Caenorhabditis elegans: one gene and its partner. The protein of the gene in region 2 interacts with the protein of the main gene of each other region in a biochemical or structural test. Each region holds a gene or a part of one and is shown on either strand. Other genes may lie near its edges.

Region 1 (17,345 bases), on a different chromosome or scaffold from region 2:
ACAAGAAATGAAAAACGACAACACAACAACACAAATAATTGTGAAGTTAATCAAGGTTACGGTAGGTAGAAAGGTATGAGCTAAAATCGACATTTTCCAACTGAACTGTAACTCCAGAACAACCTCGAAATCGTTCCACGACTTGCAATACTGAAATTATCAAAAATAGCATTGTGTAGAAAACTAAGTTTTAAACATAAAAGTTCTTGGCTATGTTCAACCCGAAAAAAATAACTTGACTTAAAAGCTAGCTGGGAAGAGCTGGACAATTTATCCTAAGTTTGACCAAAACTTTTCTTGGCACACCAAATTTGTTGGAAACTTCTTTTAAAATATTTTTCTCCAAAAACGTACCATATTTGCTTTTTGAGCCAACTTTCTATCCCTTTTCTGAACAATGTTATGACAGGTTTGGTAATTGGCTGAGTAGCGACTCTCTTAATTCAAACAGTGATAGGGAGTTTTGCCAATTTTGCTATGATTTTGATTTTGAAAATTTTGCAGTCTACAGAATTTAATTTGGGTAATCATCTTTATCCAAATTTGTTAAAACTAATCTAATTTCTGAAATATTCCGATCTGAAAAGGTCGAGTCGCTACTCAGCCACCGTATCCCACCACAATTCTTCAAAACTTTTTTGAAAATTTATCTTTAAAATCTAAACTGATTTTCCTTTTAGGCTGATTTTATTCATAAATCTAACAGCGTTATGACAGTTGTGGTAATTAGCGACAGCGACTCACAGTAGCGACTCACAATCAGCTTAACCCTTGTGATACGATTTTGCTTCGATTTTGAAAACTTTCTTGCATTTTGTATGATCTTAATATGAAATTAGAAAGCACGTACCTGATGTCAAAGTAAACTTCAATCTTTATTTATTTATTTCCAGTGTGCGAACATCAAGCATCGGAGTTCTAGGTAGTCAGGTAGGTAGAAAGGCTTAAAGGTGTCGAAGATAGGTTTACCTACTCAGACAGTCACTATACAGTGAATAATCTTCAGAATGTCAAACTATCATATTTCTTGCTGATTTTTTTACGGGCATGGTAATTTTGAAAATGTAAGCAAAAAGTTCCAGCGCTCCGGGGGCAGCAACAAGGCTGACGAAGGAAGTTTTCGTGGATGTTATATTTATAATCAGAGTGAAGATCCCTCAATCAGAATTCGCTCATCCGTATCAACAATAACCGTAACTGGAAGAGGGTCCACGTGTTTGATTTTTCTGTTAATTAAAAGATAAGGCGTTCCATTTTCTGACTGATCTAGATCAAAGTCCATTTATTTAACTTCCTTCTGATCGGTCACGTTGTCAAATCCAAAAACAATAGTTCATGCCGTCCAATCCTCATACCAACCCAAATCTACCTTTTCTATTTTTTTCTTTATTTTCTTTTTTCCTGTTATCAATCATATCTTCTTTTTGTCCAAAAATGATGATTTAATATGGGCAAGATGAAACTAATCAAAAATCGCTGTTTTATTTCACGAACTTCAAGATATATGAAGATATTGTCGAGTTTCCGTTTTTTGACATTCTCTTCAATCTCACACATGACAGTCGCGAAAAAGTGCATACTATCATTGATTGATAACTGGCATGATTCTCTTGAAATGCTACACTATTTCATTTTTGTGTTATAAACATTACAGATCTCACGCTCATTCGATGCTTAATCCTCAAGAAAAATGGTGTGACTTCGTGACATTTCGTTTGGATTGATAATCTGTGATCGAAATAAACTCGAATAAAATATCTTGTTATAAAATTATCTTAATTTGTTGGTCAAAGTTTTAGAGTGGTATCAAATTAGATATTATTCAGAAATGAATTAATCTTGTATTACAACCGGATATTCACTCTATGACACATCTACGTGCACCCTTCTGGCTCAAACATTTGCAAGTGAAAGGTCGATGTAATTCGATCATAAGATTATAGCAAAAGGTCGGAATCTACCAGAGGTCTTCCAGTCAAAGATTCGTTTTTCTGAATCATTCATGAGAATGTTTTAGATTTGCAACGATGAAGTTGGTGACCTTTAAAGTGCTCTGTATCCAAATATCACGAAAAAACGTTGTAATCAGGTTGCAGGAGTTCTCACGACATTTTTCGCATTTCAAATTCTAAATGTTAGATTTAAAATTTTGAAGACTCCTGGGAATTTTTTTAAATTAAAAACTGAATCTTCAAGATGTCAAGAAAAATCACATTTTACTTATAAATCACTATAGCGATTTGGAAAAGTTAATAACAAAAAAGCTTGGCATGTTTATTAAAACAATAGTAACGGTGTATCTGGAAACTTTATTCCGTAATTTTTCCCTTCTTTCTAAAAAATTTCAAACTGCCATAAAAAATTTTCATTAAATTTTTTGAAAGGTCTTTTTATGATATTTGATTGTTTTAGTCCTTTAGAGAAACTATATATTTTGTAACGCTTCTTAATTTGATTTAATTTCAAATTAATTTAAATTGAACATGATTTTGAAAATTGGAAGCTTAAGTGGCAATGAAATAATTAAAGTCTTAATGTGCTTACGAGACACAGATTTTTTTGCAATTAAATTTTAAAATGGATTATGCCAAAAACTGCGAAAACATTCATACAATTCTAAATAGCAAATAGGAAAATTTTTTGTAAGATCAGAAATATCGAATTTAATGCCCTCAAAAATTTTCAGTTTAAAAAAGGTTCAATAAATTTTGAGTTCGGAGCTACCGTACTTTTTGCGTATAGATATTATGGTTGTTAAGTGTCAGTAGGGCGTTCCGCATTCTAGTAGCTTACTGCCAACTCATCGGCCTTTTTGATTGTTAATCACTAAACACATTGTACCATCGGAAAAAATAAACTAATCAAGAGTTCATTTGAACATTCGTTCAATTGAAACCTTTTTTGATAAAATACGTTTCGTGTCACTAGGTGCCAGTTACGTTCGTTTCGTTTTCCCGCTGATCATCCATCATCACTCTCATTTTTAACAGCTCCTTCATTCACTTTCATTTTTATGTTATCAGTAACCTCATGCGGAGTCTGCATCATTCATCACATTCATTTATCTATTTTTCAGCATTTTATTCGGAAACAAATACACAACTTTTTACCGTTGCCATCTCATTTTCTTCAACTTCTGTGAAATTATGAACTGTGTTGTCTCCCTCTCTCTACTTATCTTATTGGCAGAAAAAAGCAGCTGAGAAGGACGAGAGTCAGATGATTGGATGATGGGAGTGTGAGGAAAGAAAAAGAAAAAGAAGAGCATTAAAATACAATAGTAAATGATAATTAGAGAAACTAATACGCTAAACTGGGAGGGCTGGTACAAAGAATAAAAGGAAGTTGTTGTTTCGGTAAACAAATGTCATGAGCACTGCGGGAAAAAATGTCATAAGATATGGAAAATCAATTTCTTACGAAATTTTCAGTTTCATTGCAATGTGCTGGAAATGTGTTTGTAAGTGAAGTGTTAATATATGAAGTACAATACAGCACTAATATTTTTGAAGAGTCAAGTACCTGCAGACTTGTATTTAGTCACATATTATCTGCACTGAAAATTCGTCTTATCCAAACATTGTCACAAGCATGAATCGCATTTTGGAATTTTTTAAGTTGTTTAAAAAGTACGAGTTGATGGGAAATTATGAAAACTCGAAGTTTTGGCCTCTAATCGAATATTTTTAACAAAGAAGAAATGAATTTTCAAAAAGTTCAATTGATCCACAATTTTCATATAAAATTGTAACAATGGGCAGAAGTCGTACTATAGTTATAACCTAGATTCGTAGATTAACTACTGTAGTCCCTGCCCTAAAATGTGTTTTCTTCACGTTTTCTTTACTGGAACTTAATTTTAAGAGGTAAGCTGGATAAGCCTACAACCAGTTATGAACCTGCAACTATACCATATTCTGATTAAGTCTAGCTTCAACTGATTTCCAGCTGGATTAAATTCAACTTAACATAAGTATTGGCAATTAGGATAATGATTAGATCTCGGCAATTAGGATAATGATTTAGATCACTGTTGCCAAAAAATTTTTAACTGGAATATTTCTGAGAGTGCTACCTGAAATGTTTCCTACGACTAGGTCGTTTCACGTATAACCTTTGCAATATAACAGAACACAAGTTCAAGGCAGAACATCTCAATCTTGCCAAGTCGTCTTGCAATATTTTATCTTCTCATATCATAAAAAGATCAATCATTTCTATTTGACCTCCCATATTTTGATTACAGGTAAAGGAAATTGCAACACGTTTTAAAATCATCGTCGTTCCTGATTTATCTTTTGATTTTCCAACTCTCGTTCTCATTTCCAATCTTTACCCTTTCTGCCACCTGGCGCATTAATCATTGCTTTTTCCGATTATCACTTTCATGCTTCTTGTTGTGACGTCCTCTCATTCATCATTTGCAGTTAACAGGAAACATTGTTGTATGAAAAAAATAGTCAGCTGTTTATTCAACAAATAACGCGTTAAAAGGACATGAATAATCAGACAATGCTTAATGAAGCCATCGAGAAATCTCTGAAAATAAGCTTAATGTTTTTGAAAACAAGTCATTTTGAATTGAGATTCACATATTTAAATATTCAGTTCGAAAATGATTCGTGAGTTGAAATTTTCATGTCTTCCAAGTAAATAAGATTTCGAATATTTCTATTTCGGTAACCTATTTCAGTTCATTGATTATTAACTTTCAGCTTATCAACTTCAATTTAAAATTCATCAGACTCGATTCCTCATCAGAAATTCTGCATCCAAATATTGTCGAAAAGGAACTTGACTGGTTGTTTTCCAAAAAAAAAACATTAAATAACTCATTGAAACTAATTCAAAATTCAACTGAAAATTCTAGAGATCAGAAAGAAACTGGCATTTGAGTGAGGGTGGATTTGATGTTTATTAGATGTTTGATTACTTCAAAAAGTTGCACCTAATAAAATAGCCTACATTCTGGGGGGTTTGTGGTTTCTGACACAAAACTACGATCATAGCTACAATCACAAGAAAGTTCCTGTCTACACGAAAAAGTACAAAATTACATTGTTTTAGTTTTAGAATGAAATACACTATGAAATAAAATTGATATTTACCGAAAAAAAAAATTTTATATCCTTCAAAAATGTGTATAAAAACTTTTATTTGCGCTTAAAAAGTAGAGTTTTGTGTGGTATTCAAAATGAAATCAGGTCATCTTTAATTTTACATTTCAATTGAATTACAGTAGTAGAACGTTTCGAACTTTCAATTACACTCAACATGATTTATTTTTATTCAGAAGGCAAAAAATAGTGAGCATCGTTATTTGGCTCATCATAGTTAATTCTAGAGTATTGACAACTTAATGCAAACGATGATTGGGTGAACAACTATATAAACTGTCTCGAATAACAATACAAATATTTATACTATCCACGAAAACCAGGTATTCATTTGAAACAGAAAAAAATCACATTTACTGCTGAATCGCTTCCTAAACCAATTGAAAAGGGTACTGTAACTTGTCATCGTCTAGGTTTCAATGTGTTGTACTCGTTTTTTGATTGCTTCGCGAATTCGTATTAAATCAAAAATCTATAGTCATCCTACATAGTGTGTCCACTATGAAAATAGTTGTGAAACATTCCAATCTCCGACAATTCGTGAACTTTACAATAATCCCATTCTAACCTCTCCGGAAATTGATAAGAACTCAAAGGTGTGTGCCAAATTGAACTTTTTTTGCCACACTTCGGGTTCAAACTTACCGCTTTTTTGCTTTTGCAGAGGAGAAATATTAGTTTTGGCATTAAAATGTGACACCACCCATCTGCCAAACACTTGATCTGCCAAACACTTGAGCTGTCACATTTTTGATCGAATTGCAATTGAAATATGGAAAATTCCGTAAACTTTCTTGTGAAATATCTAATCGATATGTTGTCATTTAACTGTCGCATGACTTGATTTTGCATGCTTATCGATTATAACTTTTGACTTTTTTCTACTACAAAACTGGGATTCAGTGGAAGGTTAATTATTTTCTCATTATCACTCTTGTCACATGACTAAATAAATAGTGTGATAAGAATGGGGACGTAGAGATGTAATAGAAGAAAGTTGCAGAAATGCTCAAATCGGTTCTGCAAAGTTGTCAGTGACAATGACGTAGGAAAGACAGGAAGTGACAGAAGAATGATAATGAGAAACTCTAATTTAGAAAAAAAGATGGAATGGCAGATTGTGGAGTAGCAAAACCCAAATTTGTTTATATCATTTCGAACTATACAGAACACAATTTTCCGAGCGAATAAAAGAAATTTGGAATTGGAGGCAATGGAAGGGGAGAAAAATTAGGAACGAAAACGATTATTTGAAACAGATTTGTGTGAAGCGATTGAAAATGTGCGGGTGAGGAAAGCGGGGGATAGAAGCATTTAGAATCGTCGCCGTAGAAGAAAAACCGTTGAGAAATGGGAAGAGGGATGAAAAACAAAATAAAATGGTGAGAGTGGATGAATGGGCACCCGCAAAGCATGCGACTTTGAAAATTGAAGTATTAAAAAAATAGTTTCAGAAAAACCAGGACTCGAATGCGGTTACAAAAACAAGAAAGAAAGGGGTTGTGCGTGCGATATTCCAATATGTCGATTGAGAAAAGATGAATAGAATGCAGAGACACACACACACACTATTATCACATGAAATCAGATCAGTTAATAGTGAGAGGAAAAGTTGGGAAGGGGATGCAAAAGGATACTGTACAAAGGAATTTCAACTTTCTTTTTTGGAAAATGACAAGGAAGATTACAGAGGGTTTGGTTGATTTCTGCACCGGTTGAAGATCAGTAAAAATTCAAAAAAAAATGGGAAGGAGTGTAGATTTTATGGGCCACCATCTGGCATCTCTTCGTCTACGTCGCCTCCGCCCAGGTGATCCATATTATTTTGTTGTCGGCGCATATTGTCAAAAGCAGCCATTTCTTGCTGAAACTTGTCAATCTTTAGTCTCATCATTCAATTTTCAATTTTACCATAAGTCTGACAGGCAATTCTGGTCTTGGTTGCCTCCTTCTATGATTCTGATTGTGTGGTTGCGGTGGCGCTGGTCCAGCCACGTTCGGATTATTAACCTGATCAACTCTGTCCAGATCTTCCTCTGATGACGATTCATCATTGTCCCCGGCACCTCTAGCAGCTTCCGCCGCTGCTGCAGCTGCTGCAATATCGGCATTGTGTCGACGAGCAGCATTGGCACGTGGCCTCAGTGCAGGTTCTTCCACAACTTCTCTATCTCGTCGCTCAATTTCTCGTCGAGCAGCCATTTCAAAAAGCATTTGAGCTCGAGCGACAGCAGCTTGGTTTGGAAGTTCTGGGAGGGTGGCCTAGAAAAATAAATATGAATCACGGAAAAGAAACTGACTACAAATTTGCAAGCACTTTTTTTTCTTCAAAGTGTATTTGCGAATTTTGAAGACTATCAAATGTACTGCCATTTCTCAATTAACAGATTTGATCCAGATGTTGTACTTACTCTGTTTGTTGAAGACGGAAGCCCACTGGGTGGAGCGTCCAAAAAGTCCCAAATGAGAATAGTGTCATCATGTGAAGAGGAAACAATTTGGAAATCATCAAACTGCAGGCGGAACACTCTGCCAGTATGTTGAACTAATGAGCAGAGGCATATTTCCGAAGATAATGCACGAGGATCTAGAGCAGCTTGAAGATCCCATACTTTAATCTTTCCGTCGTATGCTCCGGAGACAATTCGTTTTTCGTCAAATCGAATGCATCGCACGAGCTCTTCATGGCCTTCAAGAACACGTAGGCATACACCAGAATGAATATCCCATAGTCGAATCGTGTTATCACTGGATCCAGAAACAACGAGCCGTCCACGATATTGAAGACATGCAATTCCTCGTCGATGGCCAGCCAATGTTCGAACAAACTCGAGTGTATCCATTGACCAGACCTGAATATTGAAAAAAATTAATATTTTCAGAACCGCAAGAATAGTAAACGAGACTCAAACGATAAGTACACCTTTAAATTAAAAAAAAAGCTTCTTAATAACTGGAAAAGCAGTTTTTTAATTTCAAATTCTCACCTTAATAGTTCGGTCTCCACTTGCACTGACTATATATCTATCATCAAAATCAACGACATTTACAGCTGCTCTATGACCAACAAGAACTCTTCGAATTGTGATATCGCGTGGCGAAACCATATCCCAGACAGCAATCGATCTATCTTTTGAGCATGTTACCATTATTCCATTAGCAAATCGAAGATGAAGAACAGCTTCACAATGATGAATTAACGTTTTAATGCACTCTCCAGTTTCGACATCCCAGACACGTACTGTGGCATCAGAAGATCCAGAAATTATTACACGATTGTCATATTGAAGGCATAAAACGGAACCAGTATGTCCAGAAAGAATTCGACTGCAGCTGTAGTCTTTTCTATCCCAAATCTAAAAATATCAGAGTTATTTTGAAATCAAAATAATATCATTCTGACTTTAATAGTGTTGTCCCTCAAACCAGATACAATTTTGTCATCGTCATATTGAAGGCAATATACTCCTTTGCTATTTTCTGATTGACAATTTATTCGAGTCATTTTGTAGTTTCCACGTTTCCAGTTGTTGTCAATGTTATGAATATCTCGAATGATTTTTGGATATAATTTACTGTAGAAGACATGCATTAAAATGAGCTGATCAAGCTTATCCCGTTTAATATTCACATCGTAGTTGAATTTTTCACAGATTCGTCGCACTGACATGTCTCGACTGATATTCAGGAATTTGTCCCTGAAATCAAGTATTTTATTCCTATTTTCTGATAAACTAAATCATCAACTAACCATTGTCTTTTTTCAGAAAGTCCCCACCACAGGGAATCACTTCGAACATTCTTTTCAATCAATTTCTTCCAATGTTGACCACGGGCGAGTGCACATCGCCAGCTTGTGCTCACTTCTTCGCAAGATTTTAATGAATCCGAGTTTACATTAAACAGAATTAATTCGACAAGATGTGCTGAAATAAAATAGAATTAGATTAGTTTAATACTGAACAGACAAAAATTTTACCTGGTAAATTACTAATGAAATCTCTCTGGAGCATGGGCCTGATAAAGTTGTCGACTTTTCCCAACTGATAATGTGATAATCGATGAACAATTTTGTCCATAAAATCGAGCTGTTCGTGTTCACTCCATTTTAATACTTCCTGAAAAAGGTGATGATAGTTGAAGAAAGATTTGGGAAAAATCAAAAAAAAAAAAAAAAAAAAAATCAAAACGACATTATGATGGCGCTAGAATGACGGGAAATCTCGTTTTCCTTACCTCGATCAGGCCTTCGTGCCCTTGAAGGTAGTCAATAGAAAGCGGTTTGCCCTCATCGTGTTCACCTTCCGTCAACGATAAGTCCGCCAGCTGCTGAGTTGTTGAAGCTCGGTGCGGTGAAGACATTTAATGTCCTGAATTAAATGGATATTATTGAGTGTTGATTGATTAGAAGATAAAAATATGTCGATATTTAGAGAACAATGTTTTTGTGTAAAAATCAATTTAAAGTCGGAAAGATCTCATATAATCAGGTGAGTTAATCAGTATCATCGAAATTTAAAGGAAATTAAAGGGAAAATGTTCCGAAGATGAAATTGTATCAACGTTGCAATGAATTTTTTGTTTCGAGAATTCTCTTGATTTCGTAATCTTTTACAGAATCAGTGAACTGGTTAATCCAAATAGAAAAATAAATTGTTATAGGAATATCTGAATTTCAGCTGAAAATAGCAAATAAAACATCTGGGAGTTTGAATTTAACAACACAATATTTGAAGATTGACATTTAAAAAACTTATTAAATAATATGTATTGCAAATGAAAAGGTAACGCACATTTTGGTGTTTATCGTCAAATTTGTGTTTATAATTTCAACTTATTTTAAAAAATAAATCAAGAATCTTTTATATGTCTCGATAGAGAATCAAAATAGTGATTTTAATCAAAGATTTCAGGGCATTTCAGAAAATCGATAAAATAGCATTTAAACTGGCAAATTTTTCGATGAGCATAATAACTATTTAGTCATGACTTTTTTTTAGTTTTTCAATCATAAATTTGCTCTTTTCTCCATTTGGGAGAAACATATTTAACGTTTTTATGATGCGGTTGGGCATTAAACGAGAACAAACGTTCGGAAATTGAAAATATCTCAGGTTTTCCTGAAAATACACAACTAACGGAAAACGATGAAAACGAACGACTATACGAAAGGAAGATTTGAGTGTTACGAGAAGGAAACAAAAAAGAAAAGACAGAAAAGAAGGTAGAAAAGAGAAAGAAAATCGGATTAGAGACAGCGGTGAAGCACCTTTCAATAGTGGAGACGCAGACAGTTAGAGCTTGAATCGACCCGCCGTCTCGTGCACGCCCTCTTTGCTTTAGGGCGCGCTTGCCTTCTCTAAATCTCCGCATTTTATGTGATGTCTAGCCCAATCCAACTGGATTCTGTTCACCTTTAAAACTAGCGAAAAGCGGAGAAAGCAAGAGAAAACAGTGTGGGAAAGGGTATTTCTCGTACTTTTTCTGCACCCCGTGCACTCTAATACTACCTCCCTCTGTCTGCTGATCACATTTTCAGCTCGACTTTTGATTTTCAGACCCGAAATTCGAGATATTATTACACATTTAGATTGACATATCTCTCGTTCTTTTTCAACCTACCTTCTTTTCCGTCTGTTTTGTGTTCGTTTGAAAAATCTTGTTTTCGTTGGTCTAGCGGTTTTTATTTCAGGATTTCAGACGCAAGTAAATACATCAGAAAGAGGACAGTGAGAGTACTGTAAACTTTAAAGGCGCACACCTTTTTGTGCAACATCTGCTTCAAAGTTTTTTGTTCGTGGCAAGACCTATTGTGCTTCAGAAATCGGATAAATTCGAAACCACTTATAATAAAAATTTGCAAAACGTATCCCATAAACATAATTTATTCTATTACATGTATATTACACTTTCAAGGAATTCACAATTCTGAAAAAATTGTTTTTAGTATAGAATCTGAAACTTTCTAAGTTTTGTACTAAATTTGAAATATCCAAACTTTTAAATTAGCTGATACCATACATTGAAATTTGAGAATTACACTTAAACGTAATACCACATAATTTCTGTCAACTTCTGTTGCAAGACAAAAGACATTAGGATGTTGAACAGGTTCATTGAAAAATCATTATACCCTTTATTTCTTCGATGGGTGCTTCTATTGGTTAAATAAAAACACGAATGATGGCTAGGTTCGTGGTATTTATTATTCATTAGACTCATCTGAAATTCAAATATATCTATCTGCCAAAAACAGAATATCCAGTTATCATTGGTGCATACTAAAGGTCAACATTAGTACAATTGGCAAGGAACAATTAGAAATTTGAAGTTTTTTTGTAAATCATTTTGAAAAAAAAACATGAAACGTATTTCTGTACCATAACAAAACACTCAAAAAAAATTCAGCCAAACTTTTTGGTAAACTGCCAAATTACCAAAAATTAGAATTTATTAAGTTTTGTAGTTTAAAGATGGAGTAGTGAAATCAATGAAGATTTTTTGAATTTTTTCACATATATATTCGGAATCAGAGGCAAATTTGGATTCATTTAAAAATATTTCCCAGATTTTCGCTACTTTTAAGTAACTCAATTTTCTTTTTATTGCCTTAAATAGAAACTTCTCCAAAAATTAATAAATCACAGTCAATGATCAAAGTTGAATAGGAGTAGAATAGTCCTTATTATTGATAAAATTAAAAATCATTTGCTGCGATTCCTTAGGTTTGTCTTCAGGCACAAAGTGGCCACTTCCACGAACGGTCAAAAAATCAACATCTGTAAATGGTTATGTAGGTTTAAAATGATATTAAAGGCAACAAACTTCCGGCGAACTTGGTCTGAAACCCAGCTACTGCAGTTCCAGTCTGGCCGGAGTAGTGCCAAGCCTCGTTCACTTTCTCCTGTTCTCCCTAAAAAATAAAAGTTAAATATAAAATAAAGACAAGAGAAACTAACAAGAACTGTCAGGTTGAGTGATGTCAAAAACTGTTGATTCATGATTGAATTACAAGCAGTGTCCACATCTCCATTGTAGACAAGAATCTAAACAATTCTAAATACTTGAAATTAATTTGAAATATTCAAACTTTAATTCCTGCAGCAATCATTGTCTGAAATTCGGGAATCACATTGAAATGTGTTACTACATAATTCTTTCCAACTTGGTCGCTGTAAGAGAAAACAATTAGGATTAATTAATTGTAAGATGACACTACGCAATATTCTAGCAAACTTTCCTCCAGGTAATACCGAGAAGACATAGACCCCACAAAAACCAACCTACACTCTTCCCATGCTGGAAGAGAACTTGGAATGTGCAAACTTTTCCGAACATCCGCTCTATTCAAATAAACATGTGTATTATTGGTTTGAGCACAAAGCGGAACTGTCTGAAAGTATTTTGAAATTATAGTAGTTTCTGAAATCTAGTATTACGGTAGCTGCATTATGTTTTCTTGCTGGTAATCCGACGGCTATTCTCATTTGTCTTTCGATAAAAGCTTTTTTGAGATTTGTGGTTGGATTGTAATAACAAACATCATACAAGTTGTACATATTAAGCTCATTAGTACCATCTAGTGCCTGAAATTTAAAACATTTTTGAGAGAAACTGTTTCCAACTTACATTGATAACTTTGTCTCTACAATTTGGATCAAAGAATTTGCTGTAGATGTCACATGTTCCAATGTTGTTATTGCAACAATTTCTTGCAATGTCATTGTATAAACTGAAAAAATATACAATTATGAAGAAGTATCATTTGAAAAATCAGGTAGAAGGAAAGTTATCAAAATGTGGCAATTTCCGTTAGGTCTTGTCACGATCTCATCACTCGCGGTGCCAATTTTTGAAGATTATTCAATAAACGTTGAAGTCAATTTTTATAGGACTATGCTTCAACTTATTGCAAACCAACGTACAATATCTAGATTAATTATAAACCAACTTACTCGTCACGAACTAAAGCATGGTAATAGTAAAATGGAACCATAGTATTATAGTTATTTGGAAAATTCAAGGCTCCATTACCAATCGCCACTCCTTTGAAATTTGGGAAGTTTTTCTTGTCATTCAAAATACGTACGGCCAGAGTTGGAATATAAACTCCTGCATACGATTCTCCTGTGATCCAGAAATCACGACCCTTATATTCTGGGAATTTGGATAGAAAATCAAGAAGAGCCATGTAATTATGTAGAGATACTTCATCATCAGAAACTGTCAAATTGAAATTTGTTGAATAAGAATATCCAACGCCTGCTGGAGATTCCAGGAATAAGACATTTGCAAACTGAAATTGTTACTTTCTCATACAATATTAAAAGTGGAATTCTACTTTGTTCCAGGCGTACTCGTTGTAGTATATAGAGTTTCCAAAATCCTTTACATGAAATGGTCCCAATTCTTCAATTAACCCATCTAAACTAGAACATCCCGGTCCTCCATTGAGCCATAGAACTAGGGGATCCTGAGTTGGAGCTCTAGATGATTCGGTTAACCAATAATGCAAATATTTGTCTGTCCAAGCTCGCAAATATCCAGAATAATGAAAGAAATCTGGTGTGAAAGTCAATCCTGGTAAATCATTGACTTTATCCGTAGCTGGAGCAGCTAGACAGAAGGAATATGAGGATACAAAAATAAAAAGTATAGAAAGTAGTTTCATTTCTGAAATGAATGGAAAGCAAACTAGGAAATTGATAAGTGTTATAAGATGACAATAAGAAAGAGGATTATTGAAGTGTCGTCAGATGAGACAAAATGATTTGATGATTTTAACTTTGAATTGTAACTTCTCTAGAAATATTGCTCCAATGTTCCCAAGACAGAATGATCATAAGTACTTCGTTCGTCCAAAGTGAAGCCCGCCTTTTAGGTGTTCGTACATGGTATGCGAGCAAAAATAAATATTGCAAGTTACTTCGGAATTCTCAGTTTTTATGGTTTAAGACAAGTACAAAATGAGAATCTTTAGGGAGTAGTGAGAATTACATAATTCATAAGTACAGTCGATGACAGGTAATGGGAGAAGAGGAGATTTTGATGGATTTGATGACAAGATGGTAATTGTAATGTAAGATTATTTACATTTTTAATGCAATGAATTAGCAATGGTCGAGTTCCGTTCACAGATCGAATAGAATAAATATGTACATGGGTAGAAATAAGTGTATGAAGCAGTTTCCAAAGAGGCTGGGGACTTATAACTGGCAGCACAGTTGGCAAGTTGTGACCATCCATTGACGAGTGGACTATACGGCTTGATCAACCAGTTTCTGAATTTTTTTCTTTGAAAAAGAACACTTGCAAAGTAAACACACATCTTAGACGGATTGACAGCTCCTTCGGTCTGCCAACGTGGCAATTGCTCGGATCTCTCGTAGTGGGAAAATCTAACAAGACCGATCCACGAAGAAAACGAGTCTTTTGAATGACCACGAATTGCCTCCCACTCATCGATAGAATTGGCCACAAACAGTGTCGATTGCTTTTCAGAACACTTTCTTTCGGCTTTGGCGAATCCAAGAAGCTCCGTTTCCACCCAGTAGCATGAATCGGAATATCGGATCCAACCTTCCGGGCAATTTTCCGATTGGTCAATAGTTTGTGACGGCTGAAGAGTTGGGAATGGAATGTCTTCGAATGCAATTGTTCCGAGGTCCTTGTAGTCCCAATTGTAGAGTTTTTCTGGAAATTCATTTAATCTTTAAACTGTTGAAGATCAATTTTAAATTCATGATTTACAAATAAACTCACGTCGCTGATGGGGCTGCTCTTCAGTAATTTGAGAAACAATTCCAGGTGTCTCTCCACTAGCGTCTTCAATATCGTTAGTAACTGCACATACCAATAAAAGTCCAGAAAATAGGGTTCCAAAAAATATAAACTGCATAGCGATCAGTAAGAACGGAAACCGAGACGACTGTTTTCTGAAAATATTTCTTGTTAAATATTTTTAAAGATTAAGTTTTTTGTAATATTCGTTTCGCGCTGTGCTCAGTGGGAGATCAAACAAACTGCACAGCCAGAATATTTTTTAAAGAAACAAGTGTGGAATTAAAAGTTAAATAATCAAAATTATTTTAACTTGAGTTAAATTTAACGATATTTTCAAAAGCAAGTATATAAAAATTAAATATTCATTAAACAATCAGGAATAGAACGAATTAAAAGAGAGAAATCAAAAAACGAACTGAATTTCCAGTTTAATAAACAATTGTAGTTAAAGGAGCGTGCAACTACATCCGTGTTGGGTCCCACCACGATTACCGTAACTCACGGGGTCATGGCGGCAATTGTGGGAAATTAAACAATTCCACGCATTTTTGTCGTATTTTTCGACGTGTGGTCGTTTTTCTTTATCGATAGTGATTTTGTCATTTCGCAAAAATGTATCGACGAGAAAATATCAATTTTTCGCATCCGCCGCAGTTGAAATCGCCGCCTCCTATGTCTTCGCCATTGGATTCCAACAGGGTATTTTTAACTTTAAAAATTGTATTAATAATCCGATGTATTTTCAGTCTTACCGCTGGACGTCATTAACTGCAGCTAATAATTCAAAATTCGCGGACACTCCCGTAAAGGAAACACCACAAAAGCCTGATATGAGCTGGTGGTCTCCGTCACGCGGTGACACTTGGCGTCTGAACGCTCCTCGTGGGAGAACTCTGGATCTCGTTGCTGCATTCGATCAATGTTCTCGTCAAGATCAACTGGATTCTCCAAGATATGCGAATTTGGGCCGGTACCGCAGAAATAGCGAACCTATGCAGGATAATGAAAAAGAAGTTGTGACTACCAATTTTATAGGTGAGATACTGTCTGAATTATTAACTTAGTTATTGAATTCAGACGATTCAATGATCGAAGATCACGAAGAATACGAGGAGCACGATATCGAGTTGGGAACCGATTTTTACGATCCACACATGATTAGGCATCATCGGTCTTCTGAGAGGTTTGAGCAGAGTTTGGGTACAGGACAGCAAATTGAAACAATGTATTATTTAAAATTGAGTTTGATTTACACTCATCAAAATTGCAGTCATATCTCCACGAGACTTGTGCCACAGTTGAAAAGAGTGCCAAATTCGGATTACGCTAATGACGGACGTGGTGATATGAAAGAGTATGGGTCGATTTCCAAGAAAAACGAGACTCCAATTTTGGATGGGACTCCAAAAAGACCTAGCCCATTGTAATCTATTCAGCCTTTAATCACTATAATACGTTTTGCTTCAGAACCACTCGTAATATCCACAAAGTTGACATTAATCGAATGGATCACTTAATGAAGACTGAAAATACTGTTGCTGGATTCATTACTTTGACCCCACAAGTATCCAAGGTCACGCATAAAAGTAGGTTTCAACAAACAAAATTCAATCAATAATAAACATTTAGGCGACTTTTCCAAACATTTCGGACAAGAGGAATCAGTTCGTGCTTCTCCCATGAGTCGACGTAATCGCCGTGGTACCCAGACCATTGTTCTTCCTTCATTCGATTCACCTGCTTCGGTCAGAAAGTCTATTCCATCGCCTGGTCTTCCAACAAAGACTGATATTCGTTCACCATCTTCTCTTGTCAAGTTAGTACATCTCCAAGAGTGGAGTATACACAATGATGGAAATTTATTTAAAATAGTTTAAAAGTCTCTTCATGAGTTCTACATTAGAATTTTATGTACCCTTCTATCCTTCCCCTATGGCAATGTTCCACTTTTAATGTCCACTTGTTCAATCGTTTTCTTACAGATCAATTGCAAACGATTTCGAGAAAGCTGATTTTGGATTCCATCGAAAAATTGACGCTGCTGAAGAAATCGCACAGCTTAGAAAACGAGCGGACAACAGCACTTTTGACGAAAATCAGAATATGGTGTCAGATTCAGCGGAAGACAATGTGAGCAACGACTTCGTTCCTAGAATCAGTCATCTGTGAGTGATTTGGTATCAAAATTGTGCAATAAGCTTTTCTAATTTCAGAGAAATGCATCCAAGTGTTCACATGGGAATTAGTGGTTATGCAAAGAAAAATCATGTGCCCTATGGAGAGAGCAATGAAGAAGTTCTTTATTCTCTTCCTATTAAAAAACAATCGAGGAATGTGGATAGGGAAGGAATGGACCAAACTGACGAAATTTTGTTGACACCAAGAGCGATTACTATGCGTCAGAGTCTTCCATTTTCTGATATACCAGAAGAGCGCACTTGTGAT
Region 2 (16,554 bases):
ATAACGCGAAATGGACTTCGGAAAACTCGAAATCTTCATTTTGAGCTGTAAAAAGCTCATTTTCTTGCATCCATATGCCTCAAATATTAAATTTAATTTTTAAAGGCAAATTTCTGCATAAAATTATTGATTTTGTACTAGAATGTGACCAGAATATCAGCAAATTAATAAGTGTAATTTGCGTGACGCGTGAATCCGAGATGAAATAAACGGGAGACGTGAAAATGTAAAAATACGGAAACTCCAAGCTTCACATTTCCCTTTTTTCATCTCGATTTCACGCAGCACGCAAATTAAACCTATAAATTTTTGCGCACGCTTCAGAGATTAAATTTCAAGATGTTGCTATTTTTATTCAATGATACGGTAGAAGTCGCTAGGAGATATTTCGTGACACTCGTGAATAGACCAAAAAAGTGTCTATTTGTAAAACCGAATATCTTGATAAAATAATTTTAAAAAATTTTCTAGACTTTATATGATTTTTTGAAAATTGGAAAAATCACTGTTTTCACCTAATTATTTTTGAATTTCCGCCAATTGGATTTGCTCGGTGGAGCGTACTTGCATTATTTTTTATTTATTAACATTATTTCATTTATTTTCTTAATTTTTTGTGTTTTTTCCCCCGGAAAATGGAAGAAATAAACAAGAAAAATGCAACATTTTTGTTAAAAAGTAATGAAAATGAGTAAAATTGTGATATTTTGAGTTCCGACGGCAACAAGCCTGAAATTAGTATATAGAAATTAGTATATATGACGTCAACAAAGACGTTTTTGTGAGAAAACTCTCTCTCTCTCTCTCTCGAAAAAAAAAATCAATTTTTGTGGTTTTCTGTAAAAGATAATCTCATGCTGGAAAATTCTAACCAAGTTTTTTGAAACAATGTGAAATTTGTTTAGTAAATGACAAAATTTATTTTTTTTTTTGGATTGTTAGTGAAAATTTCGGTACTTGTGTATTATACCCCCCGCCATTTTAGAAATTAATAGTTTAACTTAAATTATAAAAACTTCGATAAGGAAAATTTATTCGGAACAATAACCACAGTTTCCACGTCATAAATTCAAAATTTATCTTCTTCCCCATCCTCCACCTCCTGGTCCCATTCCTCCTCCAAATCCACCTCCAGCGTTATTCTGAAATCCTCCCGAGCTTTGACTCTGTTGGAACGATGATGATTGCGATCCCCATTGACCACCACTGCCACCTCCACCGAAATCACCTAGAAAGTACACATGACTTACAAAAACTGATACTGTCCTATGACTTACCACCTCCACCGCCGTAACCTCCGCCATACGATGGCCTACCGTACCCCGGATGCGGTTTAGCAGCAACGAAAGCGACAAGGACTACCAGGAGAATGTAGAATTTCATTTTCAGAATAGAAATGTCTGGTAATTCAGCCGATACTTCCAATTTTATTTATACTAGTACCAAAAACTGGAACTTTTTCTCCTCCCCCACAATTCCACAACTTATCACTTCTTATCATCCGGTCATCTTTCGCCAAATCACATTACAAAAACAACCTGGTCAGAAAATTGAAAAACATGAAAATATGATAAAGTAAAATAAATTTTATTTAGTCGGAATATGATCCCTATATAACACTGTGTGGTTACATATAAAAATAGGACGATAGTCAAAATTAGTTGAAAATAAATCTAGTCTTCTTACAGTCTATGTTCTTCAGGATCTGAGCACTGGATACAGAGAGGGGGGAAAGTACGTCAACATCTAGAAACTTATAGATACATATATGTGTGATCTAGCCCATCCATCCTAAACCCAGGGGACATTGAGGGGAAGTCACACGGGACAAAGTGGCAGAGAAACCGAAGGAACCCATAATTCAAGAAATACAATTTTTGGTGTGGCAAAGATTGATAAAGAGAGACATAGAAAATATTCGGAAACAGAAAAGAGAGAGAGAGCGCGAAAGAAAGATTTGGCGGGTGATGAGAGAGAAACTTGCCAACTTATAAAAGTTTGAAAGTTCGGAAATATGGCAAATACAGACCGTCCTATTGTTAAGTTGACCAGTTACATTGTCTAGCACAGAGCACGTTCAAATAGAAAAATGTCGATTCGATAATTGAATCTAAGAACCGCTCAACATAACTATGGAACACTCTGTTGGAGAAATCAAGGAGGAATAATTTTATGAAAAACGAGGACATGTCAAGGGATGTTTGTGGGGAGAGGGCGTTTCTCGTGAACAAGTCAGAGGAAATTGTGCAAAGTTCGTTGGAGAGTGTGAAGGATCACTGAACAAGTTACGCCTCGAAGCGATCCGCGGAACGGCAGGCGTCCGGCTTTTCTGGCAATCATCGTTGGTATCAATGTTCTCTGTCGACGTGGACGGTGCCGAGGTGAACGAAGCAGATGAGGCGACGAAGTTGAACGCGGAACCCGTCGGCAAGGACTTGAAGGAGCGGCTCATGCTCACAGTCCGCAGTACCGATTGACCCTTGTTGTGGAAGTTGTACTTCTTGAGCTCCATCGTGTGCTCCTTGTCGTGCATTTCACAGTATGCGTGGGGTTGGCAGAGATTCTGGAAATAGGCTTGTAAAATACAGCTTTAATTCAGGTTTTTTTGCATTTTATTTCAGAAAGCATCTGTGTCGATTATTTTAGTTTTAAAGTTTAAAAAGATTTTTTATTGCAAAATGATCAATTTTCCAGCTGATTTTCAAGCGAATTTTTAGGCGAATTTTTAAGCTAAGACTAAGCCTAAGCTTGAGCCTAAGCTTAGGCCTAAGTCTTAATGTCTAAAACCTAATAAAGAAAAAATTAGCAAAATTCTAAACTGAAAAATTATGTTTTTTTTTTCAAAACTTTTTTATTTTCCAAACAAAAATAGGTTTGAAAATTGCCGAAATTGCAGAAATTATTTGTTCGTTTGCCGTATACTCACCGTGATATTGGCTTCGTTCGCAGCGAAGAAAAAATTTCGATATCCAAGATCGAGCACATACATCTCTTCATAATCACATTTTGGGTAGTGGTTCACATTAAGCTCTCGATCTACTTGCCGAAGAGCATACGCCATTTTTGGACCACGAGCCTGTGAGAATTCGCAATAGAAGATCGGAATCTTGTTGCACCGCTTTCGGCCATTCTCATCATAGAAGATCTTGCTCACTGTGACCCGATCGAAGTGGTTGATGGCGTTCTGAAAATTTACAGTTTGAATTAAAATTTAAATATAAATGTATTGCTCAATTACCTTGATGTGACCACGATTATATTCATATGGGTAGCGGCAATCAATGAGAATATACTTGTCATCAAATTCTTTTTCAGAGAGTCGGAAAAAGATGTCTCTCAATGTTTCGGCGGTGATTCTTCTGAAGCCTTTCGAGGATTCCTTTGCAACAGTTTTGAGGTGGTATTTCACGTTCAGATGATGTTGCTCTTCGTGCTCTTCCTCCTCAAATGTCTCTAGTGACGGGAAGGCGGTTGCTGAACGGGTGAGACGTCCCTTCTTATGGTTCGGCGCTCGAAAGCCTGGCTCCCACTTGGTGGTGTTCTGGTCCATCATCACGATTTCGTCGTCGTCCATCGCCTCGACGCTCATCGGCTCTAAATGGAAATGATCTGACGATTGTTCGCTCTTCTCGAACTTCCGTTTCCGCTGCTGTAGGAGTTGTTGGTTTTCGGATCGAACCGACAGCGGGGCTTGCGGGCGCATGAACATCTTGTGCGAGGTGGGCGACTCGTCGAACAGACGCACCTGGCAGGAGCTCTTCTCTCGTCTGAAAATTTGGTGGTTTTTTGACGGAGCGAAATGGGGGAAAAAATGGGAAAATGGACAAAAAGAATGAAGAGAGAGTGGGCCAACACACCGCAAGTATTCAAAAATGAGTGTAGTCTGCCCGCGGTGAAATGCAATGTTCACTTTTGAGCGGCAGAGAGGGTAGATCAAAACTTTTGTTTGAAGGGTGAGACACTTTTTTCTCTTCTTTTCTTCTTTCCTCTTCCCATAAATGGAATATCGATCGAAATATTGATCGTGCACTCTTCTCACCTGAACGTGACTTTTTTCTGGCGGCGAGACACAGGTCCTGGCTGTAAATTTTCATCCTCATCGATTTCCATGCACTCTTCGACTTGGACGGTCTGGAAATTAGAAGTTATTGATGAAATTTGCATTGAAATTTATTTTTTTAATAAATAAAGAGAGTGTTAAAATCATACTAGTAAACTTACCGTCGACTCTGTAGACATTGAGGAGAAGCAAACCGGCGTGTTCTCGTCCATCAACTCGCAGATCCCCGAGTCGCGTGACATGGAATCTTCGTCGGAGGACATCATCGCGGTTTCTGCAAATGTTGGAATGCACAAGGAGTACGAATGGCAACGACGGATGGCCTGGTGGTCTGAGAATAGGCGGTTCAGGTCCCACCCAATACATCCCAAAAGAAACTTTTCACCTGGGGAGAGAGGGTCAAAATTTAGAAATAGACACGTCTATCTTGGTGAGATTTGGGTCTACTCAGGTCGTTTTTTGTCTCGAAACACGGGAAATGGCAGAAAATGTCAGAAATCAGAAATTTCGGTGATTTGATAGCAGAATGACTGATATTAGAAAGATAAATACACCTTCTAGGAAAAATTTTTGGTGAAAACAGTTCGTTAAACTTGGTTTTAAAATTTATAGCTGTTGAAAAAATTGATTTTGAGAAGGGATTAAGACCTTTCAATTTACCATATTTACGATCAATTTTCCCAGGTCCAAATTCTTGTCAAATCAATTTCTCCTCGGGGATAATGCCGGAAAAGCTAGCTATTTGCTCTACTTTTACAGTTTTTTTTTCGATTTTTTTTTTGAAAAACATTGTATAGAAAATAATTTTTTACCAGTTTTCCATTTTTTTAAGAAAGCAAAATACAAAAAATGTATGAACTGTTACAGTAGTAAATTCAACACAAAATACAAACAGTTATTAAATTGCAAATAATAATTCTACAACTTTCGATTCACACACTTCTTATGTCTCTTGCAAAATCCTATAACATATTCCTAATAGCTACAATTACAGTTTCATCCAAAAAGAGCAGTAATTGTGTGCAATTTTATGGCTCTTCTCTCATGAACTCAAACGTGCTCCTTGGGAAAAGAGATTAAGATTTTTATGATGAGCGCCGCACGAAAATCCAAGTGTGCTACGTCAGGTTCTGGCAAAGGATTACTAGATTTCAATCTTTCAAAAATGAAGGAATTCCCGGAAAGTATGTTCAAAAAGGCGTTCCCAGAAGTATGTTGGAAGTGATAGAACATACGCACAAAATTCTACGTTAATTAAATAAAACCAAATCGAAAAAAGCAAAGAAACCAAGAAATGAGCGGTGTCTAGACTTTCAAATATGTTTTGAATGATTAAATTTTGAAAAAAAATCCCAAAATATTTTCTTGCTCTTTCTAATGGCTTTATGATGTTTTATTTAAAATTTCTAGTGCATTTTTAGAAATTATATGAGAACATTTTCCTAACTCAGATTTGTGTGAGCCCGTGTTTCCCAGTGTCAAAAACCATTGTTTGTCACCGAATCTAACACAGCTGGAAAAAGCAAATATTGCCCAAAAACCGCAATGAGAGTATCAAAAAATCTGTGTACTGGACAATCTCACAGAAACATTGGAAAAGATAACTAGAGATATGTAGATTGGCATAAAGAAAACTTTTTTGTAACCCTCCTCGGTCAGTGTTGCGTAACTCGTCCGGTCGTAACCCACCCCGCGGATGCTTTTTGTGTAAAACTAGAGGAAAAAGCCATATTCCCATATGATTTTCAAATTTTTAATGTGATAGCGATAAGTTACTGTAGGGCAATGTGGGAAATTGAGTTTCGACCTTGGGGTTTTTGGGGGGAATTGAAATTATTGTATAATAACTTTTGAAATAACCGAATTTTTTTTATTAAGTGGCAGTATTTATGAGTTGCTGTTCATGATCTTGGAAGTCGATTTTTAAAAATTTTTAAAATGTTTCAATTTTTGAAATATTTATATCAATTGATTTTATAAGTTCAAACTGCTGAAATTAAAAAAAAAACTATCATAACCATATGCTTCTAAAAATCAAAAACTTAAAAATGTTCAGTTTTTGCTGATTTATAAAAAACTCATAAGCGTTTTTATAAAATTGTTTCTCAAAAAAAATCAAAAAAAATCTGGATTAAATTATAAAATCTGCCTTGCTAAATTTTAGAAAAAAACATTTCATTTTTAAAATTTTATTTTTTTTTTCGTTCCAAAAATAAATAAAAACAATTTTGGTATTTTTCAAATCTAATCAATGAAGCCTCTATATATGGTACCTAATGCGCGTGTTCCCATTCAAACGTAACCCGACATAACGAGAGCCGGCTGTCGTGTTCACTATGAAAAGAGTGCGCCAGGTGGCAGGCTCGCTAGGAAATTCGGACCATCAATACCTATACATTAGTGTGTGTTTCCTCCCTCTCGACGGGTCTAACGGAATTTGAATCTTGTATTCATAAGGGGGTGAAGCGAGAAAAAAACGGCCGAGAGAAGGACACCTGGCCACGGGTGGAGGCCATTTTTTCTAGAGGTCTTTTTTGTGTTTTTGTTGTAAATTGAAATTGAAATAAAAAAAAATCTCGAGAGGAGAGGACAGGTGTGACTCTACAGATTCTACAGTAGCTAATGTCAAAAAGTAACGAAGAAAGTTGACCCGAGGAAATCGGACCCCGTCTAGCGTAATATAAGATTTTCTCTTCCTCCATGATCAGTCATCACTTTAACCTACATTCAAAAATGTTTATATTAAAAGTACGATTGGTGGTGTCAGACATCGAACAGATATGTTTATATTATGCAGAAGCCGCTATCTTTGAGAATCAAGGGCAACAAAGTTAGGTGGGGGACAAAATAAACAAAACATAAATTTGAAATTTGAAGGCACTAAAATTCGTAAAAAAGGGAACACCGAAAAGGGAGATCCTATCGAAAACCTTGGTACCAGGTTGCTCGACATGCCAATTTGTCAACTTAGGCCTAACGATACTTATCTGCTTGCCCCCCCCCCGTCTATTACCATTTTCTCACCTTACTTGAACAAACTTTGGGCCTCCCTTTTCAAAAAGAGGTCAGATTGGAAATTTTGATTAGTGCCGGAGGAGAGGTGTGGTACTAGTTTCAAATGTTTTGTGTGGTGTGGTGTGAATAAAAATCGTAAACTGTAAAATTGCGAAGAGGCGAGCAATAAAGTCGTAAGTTTCTCATAAGAATTTGGAAAATCATTAAAAAAAGAGTTCAGGGAATTTATTGCTGGCTGGGTTGGAGTACTTGAAATTCGATATATTTAGAAATTTTCGTGTAATGTTTCAGTAGACTCAAATCCAAATTTCTCTTTTTTGCGACTTTTTTTTAGATAATCCAACTTTTTTTATTGAAAATTGATATAGAAATGTAGAAGAAGGATTGTTCCGTTTAAAAATAATTTTTTTTCTGTTGAAAAGCTTCAAAAAGGCCTCAAATAGTGCCTAAAAGTTGCGGTTTGCCAAAAAATTCCGTTTAAAGTTTTAGGAACTTTTAGGCACTATTTGAAGATTTTTAAGGTTTTTCAACAGACATAAGGAATATTTTCAGATAGATCAATTTTTTTTCTACATTTCTATATCAAGTTTGGATGAAAAAAGTTGAACTATAATGTTGAAATAAGCAGTTCTGTGCGTTTGCCGCTGTTTTGTGGGCGCGCTTTTCCATAAATAACAACTATTTTTGTATTGTTCAAAATAGTTCAAATTTAATTTTTTTTTTCTCAAATTCAGCTATTTTTATTAACTCTAAAAAATTCATTGCACATTTATCTGTTTCAAACGTTTTCAATAAAACTCTCCTCTCATGAGATCTCATCAAATTCGAACGTTTTCAAATATAATTAAGAGACCCTGACCCCGCTCAATTTATTTTATAGTGGTCAAAACCTTCTTTCGGTGGGTTTAGTTTTACAGCCTCCTTTATACTGCTACCTGATGGATGATACCAGCAAAGGGGAGTGAGCGACTTCCGCTTATCTGACACCCGCATCCAAGGCCGTGAACTACTACTAGTAAAATTTGCCGAGTCTTGCAGCTAGCCGCTGCTGCTGCTGCTAGGCTATCGTTTGAATTGAAAGGAAATTTGTCAATTTTTCCGTATGTATAGTAGTAAACCCCTTATGGCACCAAATGTTCAGTAGTGCCCAAGCATAAGGAGGGCAAACGAGAGTACTCTCTCGAGATAGCGAAATACAATAGGACCCCCTCACAGGCACTACGCAATGATATGTTGCGTGAAATATGCGCAATCAGCCTCCATAGGAGAACCGAGGCTAATAATGATTTGAATTCCTAGAGAGGACATACACATGGTCTAGGGTTATTAGATATTGTTTGAGTACAATAATTTGTTCCAAAAGTTTTCGTGTCAGATAGTAAGTACAGAAATAAAAACTGTAATTGCGTTGAATTTAAATATGAATTAGTTTTTTGGCAATAAAAATTTAGAGAGAAAAGAACCCGAAATAACATTTTTTGCTATGTTTTTTTCCAATTTGCACCCACATGATTTTTATTTCAAAGGTTCGATTTTTCAAAAAAAAAAAAATAAATAAAGAACAGTTCAACTGCAACTACAACTATGCTAATCAACTTTTTTTTTCTAGATGAAAGGTGGAGTAGCGCCTGTGAGAATTTTGTCTAAATACACTTATAATGATCCAAAACAACCAAATATCATAATTAAACACTCTAAAAATTTTTAGATTTTTCGAAATTTACGATCAAAGTTTTGGCAAAATGCCAAAAAAATTGAAAAATATGAGTCCCTACAATGTTTTAATACAATTAATTAAAACAAAATTACAGTATAAAAATGTAGGAAAAAATTTTTTTTGGACGATTTCCATTATTATTCATAAGTGGAAAAACCTGGGTAATTGTCATTTTTGACAATAAATAAAAAATTTCAAAAAGTTTTTTGAAAAGTTTTATTCTGATATTCGGTCATTTTGACACCATAGTAGTAGTTTTTAGCACTTTCCCCACTGGCCATACTCCATCTATAACATTTTGGCAATAATAATATAGGTCCCTAAACGACTTTGTTTCTATGTTCACCCTCTTCACTGGATCTATTTTTGAAAAAAAAGTCAATAGATGTTCAACTACAACTATATATACTAGTTGGTATTTGTTCTAGATAAAATTGAAAACAAAATCAAGATGTAGTCTGTCAATTTTACGATTCTAAAATGAATACACCTTATTGAAAATAAAAATTCAACTCACCATGCTGATTAGAAAGCGGTTGTGCTACATCTTGTGATATTTGTGAAGGCCTATTCATAATAAATACTCTAGATTAAATGACTGTGCCCACGTGTTTGGAGTTTTCTGAAAATATTAAATTTTTAAAAAATTTTTAAAATCAAAATATCTATAAATTTCAAAGAATATTTGAAAACACAGAAAAAGGTTTCAAAAAAAAACAGGGAAAAAGGTGGTTGTGCCGCCCCGAGTATGAGGTAATAATGCTTGAGGGAGTCGGGTGGTGGGAGGCGGGAGGTCGGATGGAGGTGGTCCGACCCGGTTGCACCATCATGACCCCTTATAGAACGGGGGAAAAAGAGCATGAAGATTGAAGAGAGAAGAGAGCGGATTTGAGAGGGACCTGAGTGCAAGATAGAGAGGGGGTTTTCAAATAAAGAACGAGAAATGGAAGGGTGGAGGAGAGAACTCGGACCAGTTTTGTCAAGGATCACTAAGTTTTGGAGATGGAATTGTATGATGAGTGATTTACAATCGGTACGGGTTGACAAAAAGCGGCGGACAAGCGAAAAGCTTTTTTTTCATTTCATTTTCTCTTTCATTTCATTTCAAAAGTAACTTCATCAAAAATAATTAAAATGCATTAATCTGCAATTTTTAAACCACTCCAAAATTCAATTTTTAATTTCAAATTTTTAATTGCAATCAAATTTTTATCATTCACTTGACACCAATTTTCACAGTTTCAAATTCTAACTTGTTCAAAATCGCCTAGGTGCCAGAAATAATTATGTACAATACTCAATTTTTTAATTAGATGCTTCCTCTTCCACGTAACATCTAAGACCCCCTCATGAAATATGGAATACAAAAGCAGCTGTTTTCCTTTATGATGCAAAAGCTCGGCTGGATTCCTCACGAGGATTATGTTGCGTATCTGCACATTCAGCCCAGCGCAACTCGGGTTTCTCGACGAGCTTCATATTCAAAAGACCGCCTGTTTGGAGGGCGATGGCGCAATTTTATAACGACGCAACTTTTGCGCAACAATTTTTGACCTCACTCTATGCGAATGGTTCGAGTTTTATATAATATAATCAAACCTCTGGACCACTTGTCTGGATCAGGACCTTTCTAGTCACTTTGAAAAGTTAGATTGAAAATTAAAATAAAGTTTGTGATATAACTGGAGTGAGACAGTTTTTATCTAAAAAGCTTGTACAAACATTGGGCAATCAGAAAAAAAACTTGCATACCTATAGTCAAACAAATATTGCGCGGACCCCTAAGAGAAATGTTCGGCAAACTTGACCCTTGTCTTGTCAAACGGATTTAGGTGCCTAGCCCCCAAGTTCCGAATAGAATAAAATCATAAAATGGTAGGTAAAAGGCATGGCTAACTAGAAGACGAATCGGCCACCGATTCTTCCCTCGCTGGCAATTTTTCAATGCCACTAGGTCAAAGCTGTGGGCGCCCCTCCCCGAGTGTGTGTGCCTATCTAATTCTCCAAATCTCTCGCCGAAATTTCTCATTTCTGACGGGGTGCTTGGCGGTGCCCAAGACAGCTTCGGTTCCGTTCAAAACCAGCAGATGGTTCTGGTTTTGAAAAGAACCGTGCTGTATGGGAATTTATTATGGGAAGCTGAATTTTGAATCAATAAGCTTTCCTTTTTTGCGGGTCTCTACGGGTTCATCAGTAACTAGAATGAAGTGTCAGCTCATAAATCAGACATATTAGCTGAAGATCACAACCCTCCTTATGTTCAGTTCTGCATGTTCCGTTCGTCTGTGCATGTTCAAATTAGAGCCAGCCTCCTCGAAAAGAATACAAAATGCCTCATTTCCTGTCTCCTTACCGCCATCGTTCTTAGTTATGCAATATATCATAAGAAGCTCAAAATAGCGTGAGGATCAGCGAGACGCAGACATCAGATGACAGCTGACAGCCAGTCTGCGCGCAGTGAGGAGCACAGTAAAGGAGCTCCATTGGGACTAGGGAGGGGGAGGATATTTGAATATTCCGTGTGGAAGCAGAGAGAGAGACGGACCACAAGCATTACAAAACATGTGCGCGATGATGGGTGCTCCGGAATTTGGGCCAACGGGTGGCAGGTGCTTATGAGTTATGGGTGGGATGTAGAGGAAGCTGTTAGGCTGGATTTTCATTTTGAATCCTGGAATGAAATACGGCTTTGTAGTAGAACACATTGTTCTTGAAATACAAAATACAAAATACAAAATTCAAAAACTCCAACTTACTTCCACAGTTAATTATTTAATTTTTTAGTCCAAAAACAAAATAGGCATGTGTAGGCAGGCTCGAAGGCACCCTTTACTATTGCACCTAGCTTCCACCCGTGTGCATCTTCCACCTCTCCCGTTCAAATATCTCCTATTGTTTCTCCCGTCAAAAAGGTTATTGCCACCCTCTCGTCTTCTTACGGAATTCAAATATAATACGCGCATATAATTAGAGCCACCCCCTTTTCTATACACCTTATTCATACCGTGAAAAAGGCATTCAAATACCGTTCCTGCTGCCCTACTGTTCCACAGGCCTTTTCGGGTATGTGCTGCAGGATATCTAATACCTAATTGGATGGTCTTTTTCGACGTACCTGTGTACATAAAAAGGAGCTACCGGCAAGTATTACAAGACGAGAAAAGTCAAGGGCTTTGGCAAATAAACATTTTTTGTCTTTGGAAAATATGAAAAGTTACAAATATTGAAACCTATTCAAAAGCTATGGAGTGAGAATAGGTGATAAATAGGAGTCGTCGACTTGTGAATGAAGAGCCAGTTGTAAACGTTATTACACTAGCAGAAAAGGGACCAAATGACACCTACCAGATGTTTTAATGTTAGTGGCTTTGCAAATTCAAAATTTCCTCAACTCTCGTTACCAACCAAATAAATTACTATCTACTCAGCGGATCATCAGTCTTGACCGCGCTGGCAAACGATCATAAACCTCTTAGCAAGTGAGTTTGTGTCTGATGCAACTGACTTGCGTAACTGGAAAAGCATATCGAGTGACCTATGATGTCTTCATCCATGAGTATGAGTTCTAATCCCTACTTGTCAGTAATGTATCTGAACACATGTTTGGTTAATAAACATTATACTGTAAATCTGCCATGTTCTAGAATCCCATAGGATTACATAAATTACACTTAATGACTATAATAACAACCGTTACTGAGCATTGTGAACGTGGGCTGGAAGATATTCACAATTATGCATTGTAACTTTATTAAGAAGTATTGCAAGTTAATTTTATTGTGTTAAACGGAACAACAACTGAGTCATAAGCCGTCTAATTTAAAAAAAAAACTGACAGGTAGGAAAGTTACGGATTAAAATGATATGGTACAGTGAAGATGTAAGAGAAACGTCTAATTTTTGAAAAAAAAGTTAAATAAAAATTAAATAAGAATTTGAGCAGAATAGGTTTAAATTGGGACATAATAATTTTTCCTCCTTACTATTAGATCTACCGAAAACTTAATTCGAAATTTAATTTTATTATTTTAATGTTTTCAATGCATTTATTTATGGAAATGACTAAAAATCGAAAATGTTTTAAATACATCAGCTCTTTCAGAAATGCGGGAAAGATATGTAGACTGATGTTTAGACAGGCAGGTATTAACTTATCACATCACATCAAAACTGAAGTTAATAAGAAAAATTCAGATTCAAAATATTATCACTACAAAACATAATTAAAACAAGGGTCTAGTAAAACTATTTTTAGGCAGCTCAAATTGAAATTAATTATTGTTTCTACCTTATTTATATAAAAGTAACTTTTTTTTTTAAATTGGCTTGAGGATGATCCACAAGTGAATTTATTGTTTAATCAAAGTTAATCAAAACAATGAAAAAAAGTCGGGACCCTCACGAGTCCGACAAAGAGAGGAAAAAAATAGACCGGCATTGAGAGAAGAAAGGGAAAAAAAGACTTTTTGGGAAATTAGACTTAAAGTATCAAAATGCATTTATGTTCTTTAAATAAAATATTCATGGTTAACTCATATTCTCAAAAAAAGTCACACCTACCATAAAACAAGAAATCGATATGTCGAGCGACCTTACGCAACCTTGGGGACCCAAGCATACTGGTCCATGTGCTAGAATGTTCCCCAGGGACATCCGTCCAGGTGTGCTCCGCCCTCCATCACCGCCTTATTCCAGATGAGATCTCTCACCACCTCCCGTCGTGTAGTTGACTGTAATCTCGACGACAGTCGTAAATGCGCGATGAAGGAGATGGTCAGAGCTCTTTGCGTATGAGCCGACAGGCGCCCCCACAGGAGGTCCATGGGCATCCGCGACAGGTGTTGCGCAATTGACAAAAGATTCGCGCATGTGTGGTAGAATGGTCCGAAGAAGAGGTGGGCATGAAACTATGGTGTTTTGGTTCCAGAACTCTTCATTTTTTGTTGGTAAAAGATCAAAAGAAGCTTTTTTTGCAAACAAAATGCCGAACTACGCACTTGAATCTTAAATTTGCAGACGCCTAGACTATCAGACTTTTTTAAGCCAATTCTAGCACATGGTGTCAGAGTGTCCCATTTCGGTTTGATCTACTAGAATTGTGGTAATTTAGACGCTTCTAGACGCAGATTTTTCAACTGATTTTAAATGGTTAAGAGTGCGCTGCCTTCACACTTTTCCGGGTAAAATATGCCCGCATTTTTTGTAGATCACATTTAGATGGAGCAGCCTGACGCCACGTGTTCAAGCTCAATTTCGAATTATGTGTAAGTGAATAGGAATGTTTCTGCTTCCATCGAAACAAAAAATATCATCTAAAAATATTAAGCACCCCAAATTTAAAACAAACTTCCCTCATACTGATCCCCTGGTTTATCCCATCCATCTGTCTTTGCTTACCCACATCCAACCCCAGGAAGCCAAAAAACACCTATTTTCGCGCGCAATAGCCATTCATCCCACATACAGCTGTTGCTTTCCAATGCCGGAGAGACTGTTGATCTTTGAGAGAGCGCTAGACACAGATCAAACAGAATGTCTGAAGGCATGTGCACTCATATGGGTTGAACAGATGTGTCTGGGTGTCTGACAAGTCTAGCGATCTCTAATTATGCGGTGAATAAGATTGTATAATGAGTAAATGATAATTTGGGTCTGGCTGGAGCAGAGGTATGAGCGATGAGGATGCTGTGAGACTTGCTGCATGTTGAGGTGAAAATTGATGAGGATGGAAAAAGAGCAGATGTACAAAATTTTTCTAGAAAATTTTAAACGTTAGAAGAAGCTTGTAAACTTGAAAAAACTAAATACCAATTATATCTATGCAGTAAAAAAATGCATTAAAAATTTAGACTGATTTTATAAAATACTATGCAAAACTACAGTACCCCTACAGTTTCCTAACATAAACCCAGAAGTGCTCGAATGTAAGGTCCCGGTGAAGTAGGCAAAGTTTGCTGGAAAACACACAGGTTAGGTTCGTTTTGACTGTATATATATAACTTCAACAGTGCTTTAATTTTTTCAGACATGTTCAAAATTAAACAATTCTAGATAAATACAAATTATCAACTTTTAAATTCATATGGCGTTGTGAAAAACTAAAAGTGAAAATTCTGGACATAAATTTTAAGTATTGTTCAAACTTTTAATATAGTTTAGGCCCATGTTGAAGCTCATAAATGAAGAAATCCTAACAAAAATAAGATTAATTTAATCCCTAGGTTCCGCTAGTTAACAACCAAACTGAAACAATTTGAACACCTTTCCTCAAAAAAATACCAGTTTCCGGTGAAAGGTCTGGGGGTGTCTAATGAAATGCAAATGTAAGTCAAAGCGAAAGGTGTCGTTCAAGTCGTCAACTATGGCGGGTGTCCTTCACAAAAACAGAAATGAGTGAAAATAGGTAGGGGCGGCGAATCGAAAGCGAACACCTCAATTGTTTCATTTTTTTTTTCGCTCGTGTCTAGGGCACAGTGTGGCGCGAAATTGGGGTCAAATCGAGTAGCGGTTCATTACTTTTTGATTAGTTCACTTCCCCTCTCTGGGTGGTCTTTGTGGATATAGTGGTGGTGACAGGTTCCCAGGATTTGAAAGTTTTCGGATTGAGATGCAGATTAGAGCAAGTTTACAGCACAGTGTTGTAAATCTGTAATTGTAATTGACTGGGAAACCGTAAACATTAGTAGGACATCATGATTACAACTTATTTGGACAGATTGATATCTTGAAGTATTTAGGGGATCCCACGAGCAAGAATCTAGTGGAGTTCAATATTAATCCATCAATTACAAGATACATACCTTTTCAGGGAGTCTGTGCAAATGGGGTGAGAATAACTCAAGTTCTACAGTAGCCTAATGTTTTATAGGTACTGTAGATTTTTTGTATTGTTCATAAAGCCTAAGAGCATTTCACACGTGGTGTCAGGTTGTCCGATTACGGTTTGATCTACACAAAATGCGGGAATTTTCTACACAACAAATGTGACGTTAGCACGTTCTTAACCATGCAAAATCAGTTGAGAAGTCTGCGTCAAAATTCCCGCCATTCTCGTAGATCTACGTAGATCAAACCGAGATGGCACACTCTGACACCACGTGATTTCATAAAAACTGCTCTGCATTTTTGATCTACAAGTCAGGTATTTGTTGGGTCAAGTGATCATTTATAAACGGTAAAGTAGGCATAAAATAGGCGTCATGCATACAACACTTTGTTTTTTTTTTCAAAAAACTTATATGTTTTAGAGCAATAAGTCAAGTGCCAATAGAAAATTCTACATATTCTACATTAATCTATCTTTACTAATTGTTTTCTCTGACATCTCCAGTCCCATCTCTTCCCCCGTTCTGCGTCGAGAATTCAAATATCCGAGGAGGGAGATGGCTCATCAATGTGCGCTCTGTCTGTGCAGAAAAAGATGACCTCCCTCTCTAGTCCTAGACCCATATTATCGAGAACATCAGAAAATAGTGTGGGATCAGAGGAGACGCACAAGTGGAAAGGACCATTTGAATCTGTGGGGGGTGTCTCTTCTCGCGTTGTCTGTTGACTGAGCACACAGAAGAATAGCGGGCGGATATTGGAAGGGCTCTTTTTGTATTCGAGTTGACTCATTCGAATTTAAATTGTAGAAGGTTTTAGTTCGAGAAAATTGAGCTTTTTGATAAACGGGGGTTTTCAATTTTAACGTGATCAGTTAAAGTTCTTCGGTTCTAGATCTAAGATAAAATTCTCAATTTTATGACAAACTTTAATATTT

Evidence for each region.
Region 1: of the proteins of cdc-25.2 (region 2) and lin-23, one has a biochemical effect on the other in vitro, tested with the Caenorhabditis elegans proteins (one study listed by BioGRID).

The regions. Positions count from the first base shown.
Region 1 is NC_003280.10:6,363,447-6,380,791, reverse strand, and holds lin-23 (F-box domain-containing protein), read right to left. Parts: upstream 9,490-17,345; 5' UTR 9,480-9,489; coding exon 9,354-9,479; intron 9,236-9,353; coding exon 9,097-9,235; intron 9,044-9,096; coding exon 8,869-9,043; intron 8,816-8,868; coding exon 8,521-8,815; intron 8,474-8,520; coding exon 8,105-8,473; intron 7,970-8,104; coding exon 7,529-7,969; intron 7,380-7,528; coding exon 7,029-7,379; intron 6,988-7,028; coding exon 6,880-6,987; 3' UTR 6,242-6,879; downstream 1-6,241. Other genes in the region: Serine carboxypeptidase ctsa-4.1, read right to left, coding at 11,772-11,896, 11,943-12,030, 12,077-12,163, 12,208-12,289, 12,401-12,510, 12,557-12,703, 12,747-12,849, 13,073-13,413 and 1 more; clec-88 (C-type lectin domain-containing protein), read right to left, coding at 14,215-14,810, 14,880-15,015; ani-2 (Anillin-like protein 2), read left to right, coding at 15,513-15,599, 15,647-15,935, 15,978-16,125, 16,171-16,323, 16,368-16,486, 16,530-16,716, 16,883-17,065, 17,114-17,345. UniProt on the Caenorhabditis elegans protein: Functions cell autonomously to negatively regulate cell cycle progression. Required to restrain cell proliferation in response to developmental cues. Probably recognizes and binds to some proteins and promotes their ubiquitination and degradation.
Region 2 is NC_003283.11:1,570,551-1,587,104, reverse strand, and holds cdc-25.2 (M-phase inducer phosphatase cdc-25.2), read right to left. Parts: upstream 9,415-16,554; 5' UTR 9,368-9,414; coding exon 9,310-9,367; intron 4,335-9,309; coding exon 4,222-4,334; intron 4,132-4,221; coding exon 4,040-4,131; intron 3,768-4,039; coding exon 3,239-3,767; intron 3,185-3,238; coding exon 2,927-3,184; intron 2,564-2,926; coding exon 2,171-2,563; 3' UTR 1,573-2,170; downstream 1-1,572. Other genes in the region: F16B4.7 (Glycine Rich Secreted Protein), read right to left, coding at 1,077-1,228, 1,278-1,383. UniProt on the Caenorhabditis elegans protein: Required for intestinal cell division following the 16E cell stage of embryogenesis. Regulates intestinal cell divisions and binucleations probably by modulating the activity of the cell cycle regulator wee-1.3 and by activating the cdk-1/cyb-1 complex.